2 linked regions of the Macaca mulatta genome follow. The protein of the gene in region 1 binds, or shares a complex with, the protein of each later gene. Links are inferred from orthologs where the notes say so. Each region holds a gene or a part of one and is shown in the gene's direction. Other genes may lie near its edges. The genes, in order: UBTF and POLR1H.

Region 1 (2,865 bases):
CCATTTGTGTAGAGCAATAGGGTGAATGTGAAAACCAACAGTCTTAGTGGTTTATAGAAGGACTCTGGGCATCAGAAGCAGAAATACTAGAGCTTGGGCCAGTGCAGTGGCTCACGCCTGTAATCCTAGCACTTTGGGAGCCCAAGGTATGAAGGATCACTTGAGGCCAGGAGTTCAAGACCATCCTGGGCAACATAGTGAGACTGCTGTCTCTACAAAAATGATTATAAGGTAGCATGGTGTGGTGGCACACACCTGTAGTCCCAGCTACTCTGGAGGCTGAGTTGGAAGGCTCACTTGAGCCTGAGAAGGCCAAGTCGTGAGCTGAGATTGTGCCACTGCACTCCAGCCTGGGTGACACAGGACACAGAGCAAGACCCTGTTTCAAAAAAAAATTGGAGGCCGGGCGCGGTGGCTCACGCCTGTAATCCCAGCACTTTGGGAGGCCGAGGCGGGCGGATCACAAGGTCAGGAGATCGAGACCACGGTGAAACCCCGTCTCTACTAAAAATACAAAAAATTAGCCGGGCGCGGTTGTGGGCGCCTGTAGTCCCAGCTACTCGGGAGGCTGAGGCAGGAGAATGGCGTGAACCCAGGAGGCGGAGCTTGCAGTGAGCCGAGATCGCGCCACTGCACTCCAGCCTGGGCTGGGTGACAGAGCGAGACTCCGTCTCAAAAAAAAAAAAAAAAATTGGAGCTGTGTTCTCAGATCACAGGGGCTCTCTGCAGAGACCTAAAATCTAGGGAGCCTGGGAGGGATAAGATGGGGTGATGATATATAAATGCTCAGCCCACTGCCTAGCACTGGGCCAGCATGCTCAGTCAGCAGTAGTTGGCTATATTCCAACCCTTGCCACCTCTGTCTCCCCCAGAGCCTGTCTCCCCAGGACCGTGCAGCATATAAAGAGTACATCTCCAACGTGAGTCTGGGAGCAGAGCAGCAGTGGGGTAGGGGTGGGGGGATTCAGGGGTGTCTGGAACTCACGGCTGCCACCTTCGTGTCCCCATCCTGCAGAAACGTAAGAGCATGACCAAGCTGCGAGGCCCAAACCCCAAATCCAGCCGGACTACTCTGCAGTCCAAGTCGGTAAGGAGCCCCTGCCAGATGCAGGGGCATGGGGCGGGTGGGACTGCCTGGAATGGCTGGGCAGAGACCAGAGACCACTGATGTGCCTCTGTCCCTCCAAGGAGTCCGAGGAGGATGATGAAGAGGATGAGGATGATGAGGATGAGGATGAAGAAGAGGAAGATGATGAGAATGGGGACTCCTCTGAAGATGGCGGCGACTCCTCCGAGTCCAGCAGCGAAGACGAGAGCGAGGATGGGGATGAGGTGGGGCAGACAGGGCACAGTGGGAGGGGAGGGGATTCCTGCCAGGATGGTCACCTGATGACTCTCCACATCCTTTCTCACCCCCCAGAATGAAGAGGATGATGAGGACGAAGATGATGACGAGGATGACGATGAGGATGAAGACAACGAGTCCGAGGGCAGCAGCTCCAGCTCCTCCTCCTCAGGGGACTCCTCAGACTCTGACTCCAACTGAGGCTCAGCCCCACCCCAGGGCAGCCAGGGAGAGCCCAGGAGCTCCCCTCCCCAACTGACCACCTTTGTTTCTCCCCCATGTTCTGTCCCCTGCCCCCCTGGCATCCCCCACTTTCTTTCTTTCTTTTTAAAAAAAAAAAAAATACGGTGGGGGTAGGGGGCTGGAGGAGCCCAGGCCAGGACTCTGCAGCCTCAGAGACATCAGCCCTTGGGGGTCCTCCTCCAGGGACAGCAACCATCAGACTAAGCCAGCACCGGACCAGCCTGGCCCACCCCTGTGACTTCTCTGCACTTGCAGTTCCGGCATGGACAGTGTACCGGAGAGTGGGGGTGGGGGGGGTCCCAAAGAGTTCAACGAGGCCCTCCACACCTGCGGCCCAATCCAAGGTGGGGTGGAAGCTTGGGGAAGACGCATTCCTTCCCAGAGGGGCCTGCCACCTGGACCCCTGCATTGGAACTGGAGGCAGGGAATGTGGGGAGAGGAGGGCTGGTGCCTTCGAGAAAACAGGCGCTGCCCTGGTGGCCCTCTCCCCTGCCCCCTGCAGGAAGGAGCTGCCTGGACCCATTCATGGGGGAGGGGGCAGAAGTGTTTTTTATATATGTGTATATATTTTTTTTTAAGCTCTGAGCTGTCAACGAGACGTTTCCTACCGATCTCGGCTGCCGTCTCTGTTGTCATTTCTGGGAGAGGGAGGGTTTAGGGGTAGGTTTGGAACCTTTTAAAAATGGTCTTGATGTGTGTGGAAGAGAGTATGTGTATGTGTGTTCCTGTACATAGCATGGGTGCAGCTGTGGATGTGTGCAAAAGAGAGTGTGTGTGTGTGTAAGGGGGTCTGTCCTAGAGCCCACATCAGTTTGTTGTGAATCTGGAAAAAGGGTCGGTGAGAGCCGGGAGATGTTGACCCTGGTGGGAGCGGACTGAGGCTATCCCATTCTCCACATCCTCTGTTTTGCCCAGTCTCTGATTCCACTGGGGGAGTGTGCCGAAGCCACTCTAGGATGCTTCCCAGACCAGGCTCCCTCTGCCAGGGTCACATGCATCCGAGCTGCTGGTCTCCATTGTCCAGCAGGAAGGCTTCCGGAAAGACAGGCAAGATGGTGTGAAGCTTAAAGCTTGTATTTGGTGGAAAAGGCCTCCCCTGCTCATCTGAGGGGCCAAGCCTGGCCACCCTAGGCTCAGAACCTGGGCTTCAAGAAATGTGCTGGGAGCTCCTATCTTACACATCCCTTCAGCTTTCCTTAAATCCTCCCGCCACCCCCTATTTCCTTTAATTTCTCAGGTCTGCTCCCTCCTCCCCCAACCCCACAGCTGGGCAAGAA
Region 2 (4,370 bases), on another chromosome or scaffold:
TAGTGATGGCTCCAGAACTTTCATATGAAGGAACTTAGCACAGCTATCAGAGTAGGTGGTGGTGGGAGGACTAGCAGGAAACTAGTAAACAACGACAAGCTGCCCCTTCAGGGAAAGTTTCTACTTCGAATATAAGTTACAGAGTAACGAAAATAGCAAGATTTCCGAAAGAAACTTATTCCCATGTTTTATAAAAGATCAGGGAAATGTCAGCTGTCCACTTAATGGATGACGAATAATGAATTAAGAGTTCGATAAGCGGCAGGCACAACTAAAAGCCAAACTCGACCTAAGTCTTATGAAATCCTACTTAATGAGCTTCTTGACTACTGCTAGCCTCACTTATCTGGCAGGAGTCGAAGGAGGGGAAGCCCCAAGCTCTTCTGTTCTACCACCTCCAAAGTCCTGAGCCCCTTCTCAAGTGTCCCACTTCATCCCTGCTTCCTTTCGTCCCGTGGGACTAAGGATTCCTCTGGCCTTCACCCTCACCACTTGCTGTCCCTCAAGAAGCCGACTCACCCCTTTCCAAGCGCGGTGAACCGTCCGCAAAGCACACAGGCCGGCTGCGCTCTGCAGAAAGCCCACGCTCGCCAGCGGGACCCAAGGAACGCTAGAACTATACATGCCAGAACACTTAGCTTTGTTTTTAACTACTGTGCAGCCGCAAAAGGGAAATACCAGCTCAGGACCCAGGGGAGTTGTAGTTCTCTAATCCAAAGAAGTCATTATTCAGCAAAGTACGGTTTTCAGGAGGATATTCCCCCGCGATTGGGTTCCCGTAGGATGTGAAACAGAGAATAAATATCCCAGGATTCGGTGCTGGTGGGAAAATTTGCTGGAAGCGCAGCATTGGTTACCAATTTTGTGCTCAACGTCTCAGTACCAGCCTGAAAGTTGAGCCCCAACCTCCCTTAGAAGTGGTGACTCTCCATCTCTAAGGCTTCCGAGACACGGTACGCAATTAATTATGACGTCACAGCCAATCGTCAGCGTGAAAGCGTGACGCTCTAGCCGGCTCTAGCTCGCTGCCCCGCCGCGGGCGCAGAGCTGGCGCTCTAGCCCACGGAGTTGGCCAGCTCCTCTCGCCGGCCCCAGGAAAGGGTTCCAAGTCCTTTTAGTACCCGACGCTGTCTGGGAGTTCCGGGCGTTTCGGCTCCTTGGTCGCAGAGGCAGGAGGCGTGCGTGGGAGGAGGACTCGGGTTATATACTCCTACGTCCTGGGACGGAATAGTTACCACCTCTGGGGCAGGAACTCTTCTCTCTTTTGTTAATAAACTTCTAACTCCCTCCTCAGACCCGACTGCATGTCTGTCATGGACCTCGCCGGTACTTGCTCCAGCTTTCAGTCGGACTTGGATTTCTGTTCAGATTGCGGCTCGGTCCTGCCTCTGCCCGGGGCTCAGGATACGGTCACCTGTACTCGCTGTGGCTTCAACATCAACGTTCGGGGTGAGAGGCTTGTACACAGGGGTCCTGGCGGAGGGCCCAGGATCGGAAGCTTGGGGAACTCAAGATCGGTTGGGTTGAGAAGGGGATCCTAGAGCAGGACATCAGGCAGTTGTACATTTGGTTCAGCGATGAAAACTGAGGGAAAGGATATAGGGCCTCCTGGCCTAACCAGCCAGGGGAGAGGGGAAGTTTCCGGTGTCAGCTCCCTCAGGTTGTCTCCATAACCCGTCTTACTTGCCTGTGCAGACTTTGAGGGGAAGGTTGTGAAGACTTCAGTTGTGTTCCACCAACTGGGGACAGCCATGCCTATGTCGGTGGAGGAAGGGCCTGAGTGCCAGGGACCTGTGGTAAGTTAATGAGATCAAGAACTGGCTCCATAAGGTGGGTAGGAAAGAAATGGAGGAGTGATTGCAGAGATCTGGAGAGTTTTGTGCCCAATTCCAAGTGGGAAAAGATGTAAAGCATCGATGTTTGAGAGGCGTGATCGCCTGATTCCTGTGGGAAGTAAGGGTATGATATGACCTGGCCTCCATAACCCACCAGTTTCTTCCCAGGTTGACAGGCGCTGCCCTCGATGTGGTCATGAAGGAATGGCATACCACACCAGACAGATGCGTTCAGCCGATGAAGGGCAAACTGTCTTCTACACCTGTACCAACTGCAAGTGGGTATCCTTTCCCCTCCCTTTGCTCAGTCTGTTTGCTAACTAATAAACAAATCCAGTGATTTATTTTTTTGTACTAAACGGCTGTGTCCTTTCGTCCCATCCCTTATTTCTGTGCAGTTCTGGTAAGAGGGAGATTTGTAGTTTTTATTTTTTTAAATTACACTTTTTTAACCCTTTTTGTAACCAGTGAAATAAACCTTTTAGGTTTTTTTTTTTTTTTACGGACAGGGTGTTGCTCTGTCACCTAGCCTGGAGTGCAGTGAGGCAATCTTGGCTCACTGCAACCTCCGCCTCCTGGGCTCAGGTAATCCTCCCACCTCAGCCTCCAAAATAGCTTTGGGACCACAGGCACGTGCCACCACACCTGGCTTTTTGTTTTGTTTTGTTTTTTGTATTTTTAGTAGAGATAGGGTTTCTCTCTGTTTCCCAGGCTGGTCTTGAACTCCTGAGCTCAATCAACCCACCTCAGCATCCCAAAGTGCTGGGGATTACAGGCATGAGCCACCCTGCCTGACCTTCTTTTAGGATATTTAAAAGGAAATGAATAAAAAAAACCAGAAGAAGCAAGTATTGTTTAGTGGTCAGCGTCTTATACTGCAGTCTTCAACCGCAGTCAAGGTAGCTTTACTTTGGAGAGAATTAGTCACACATGATTTAGAGAACATGGGCTTTCTGAATGCTTTTAAGACCTCATCTTTGTCTTTGGTGTTCTGCAGTCACTATAGTATATCAAAATGTGATTTTCTTTTATTCTGTTTGGGATTTGTTGGACTTTCTGAAACTGAGAGTGCATTGTTGTTTTTTGTTTTTTTTTTTGAAACGGAGTCTCGCTCTGTCTCCCAGGCTGGAGTGCAGTGGTGTGTTCTCCGCTCACTGCAAGCTCCGCCTCCCGGGTTCATGCCATTCTCCTGCCTCAGCCTCCTGAATAGCTGGGACTACAGGTGCCCGCCACCACGCCCGGCTAATTTTTTGTGTTTTTTAGTAGAGACAAGATTTCACTGTGTTAGCCAGGATGATCTCGATCTCCTGACCTTGTGATCCACCCGCCTCGGCCTCCCCAAGTGCTGGGATTACAGGTGTGAGCCACTGCGCCTGGCCTAGAGTGGATTTTTTTTTTCATCAACCTTGGAAAATTATCAGCCATCATCTCTTTTAATATTCTCTTTCCCCCATGTTCTCAGTCCTCACATTCTGGACCTCTAATTAGTTACTAGAATGAGATTTCTCTCTTCTGTCCTCCATTTCTCTCGCCTTCTTTTCATATTTTCAATCGCTTTTCTCTTTATGCCACCTTCTGAGTAATTTCTTCAGGTTCCTCTTCCATGTCACTAATTCTGTCTTCAGTTTATTTCAAGTATTATTATTTTTTACTATTGTTATTATTTTGAGTTCTATTTAATTACTTTTCAAATCTCAATTTTTAAATAATTCTCAGTTCCTTAATAATATTTTAAATTGTTCCTTTTACTAGTCTTTATATATTTAAAATATTAAATGTGGTTATTATATTCTATGTCTCATAATTCTGATATCCGTGGATTTTGTGTGTCTGATGCTGCTGTCTGTTTCTGCTGTCTCTCTCATAGTGCTTTTTTCTTTGTTTTGTAATTTTTGACAATAAATTTGAGTTTTTTAGAACTTGAACTGTAGGAATTCTCTGAGGCCTTGGGTAAGTGTTGTATTCTCAGCATTTGTGTTTCTTTTCTAGGTGCCTTGAAGCACTATCAAGCTGGAATTACTTTAAATAAATTCTTGGCTTCATGTTTTTTGGAGCAGACAGATAGTATGAATTTGAGCTGCAAATCCATGTAAGGGCTAGCTTATGGCTAGAAATTCTCAGGAAAGAGTTTTCTCTCTTTCTACCTACTGAGACAGTCAAATTCCCCTTCTATAGAGTTGAATTTCTTTCTTTTCTTGTTCACTTTTACAAAAAAGGGCAGGCTTTTGCAGTTCCCAAATTTATGCACAGGATCTCCTATCAACCTTGCACATTTTGTCCCTCATTTCCTATGCTTCCAGTGACTGTTGCAACAGTATAAAGGGCACCAGAGTGTCACTGTCACATTTCATAGGGACATCAGTTTTAACTTCACTGTCTGGATTTCTGGTTTTACAGAACTTTTAACCAGTATGAAGATTGCCTTTACTTTCTTGCCATCTCATCAAAAGATTAAAAATATTCATAGTCAGATATATCTTTTAAAAGTATTTTTTCTATCACTGATTGTCATTTTACCAAAAAAAAAAAAAATTA

Evidence for each region.
Region 2: UBTF (region 1) and POLR1H share a complex: the UniProt entries of both Homo sapiens proteins name them as parts of the pol I pre-initiation complex. The link is inferred for Macaca mulatta from reciprocal best matches to the Homo sapiens genes UBTF and POLR1H.

Annotation. Positions count from the first base shown.
Region 1 is NC_133421.1:68,578,873-68,581,737, reverse strand, and holds the end of UBTF (nucleolar transcription factor 1), read left to right. Parts: intron 1-641; exon of another isoform or gene 642-872; coding exon 873-920; coding exon of another isoform or gene 921-970; intron 971-1,015; coding exon 1,016-1,087; intron 1,088-1,111; exon of another isoform or gene 1,112-1,151; coding exon of another isoform or gene 1,152-1,188; coding exon 1,189-1,332; intron 1,333-1,420; coding exon 1,421-1,546; 3' UTR 1,547-2,199; downstream 2,200-2,865. UniProt on the Homo sapiens protein: Recognizes the ribosomal RNA gene promoter and activates transcription mediated by RNA polymerase I (Pol I) through cooperative interactions with the transcription factor SL1/TIF-IB complex.
Region 2 is NC_133409.1:152,983,275-152,987,644, reverse strand, and holds the start of POLR1H (DNA-directed RNA polymerase I subunit RPA12), read left to right. Parts: upstream 1-1,304; coding exon 1,305-1,449; intron 1,450-1,695; coding exon 1,696-1,796; intron 1,797-2,003; coding exon 2,004-2,113; intron 2,114-4,370. UniProt on the Homo sapiens protein: Core component of RNA polymerase I (Pol I), a DNA-dependent RNA polymerase which synthesizes ribosomal RNA precursors using the four ribonucleoside triphosphates as substrates. Can mediate Pol I proofreading of the nascent RNA transcript.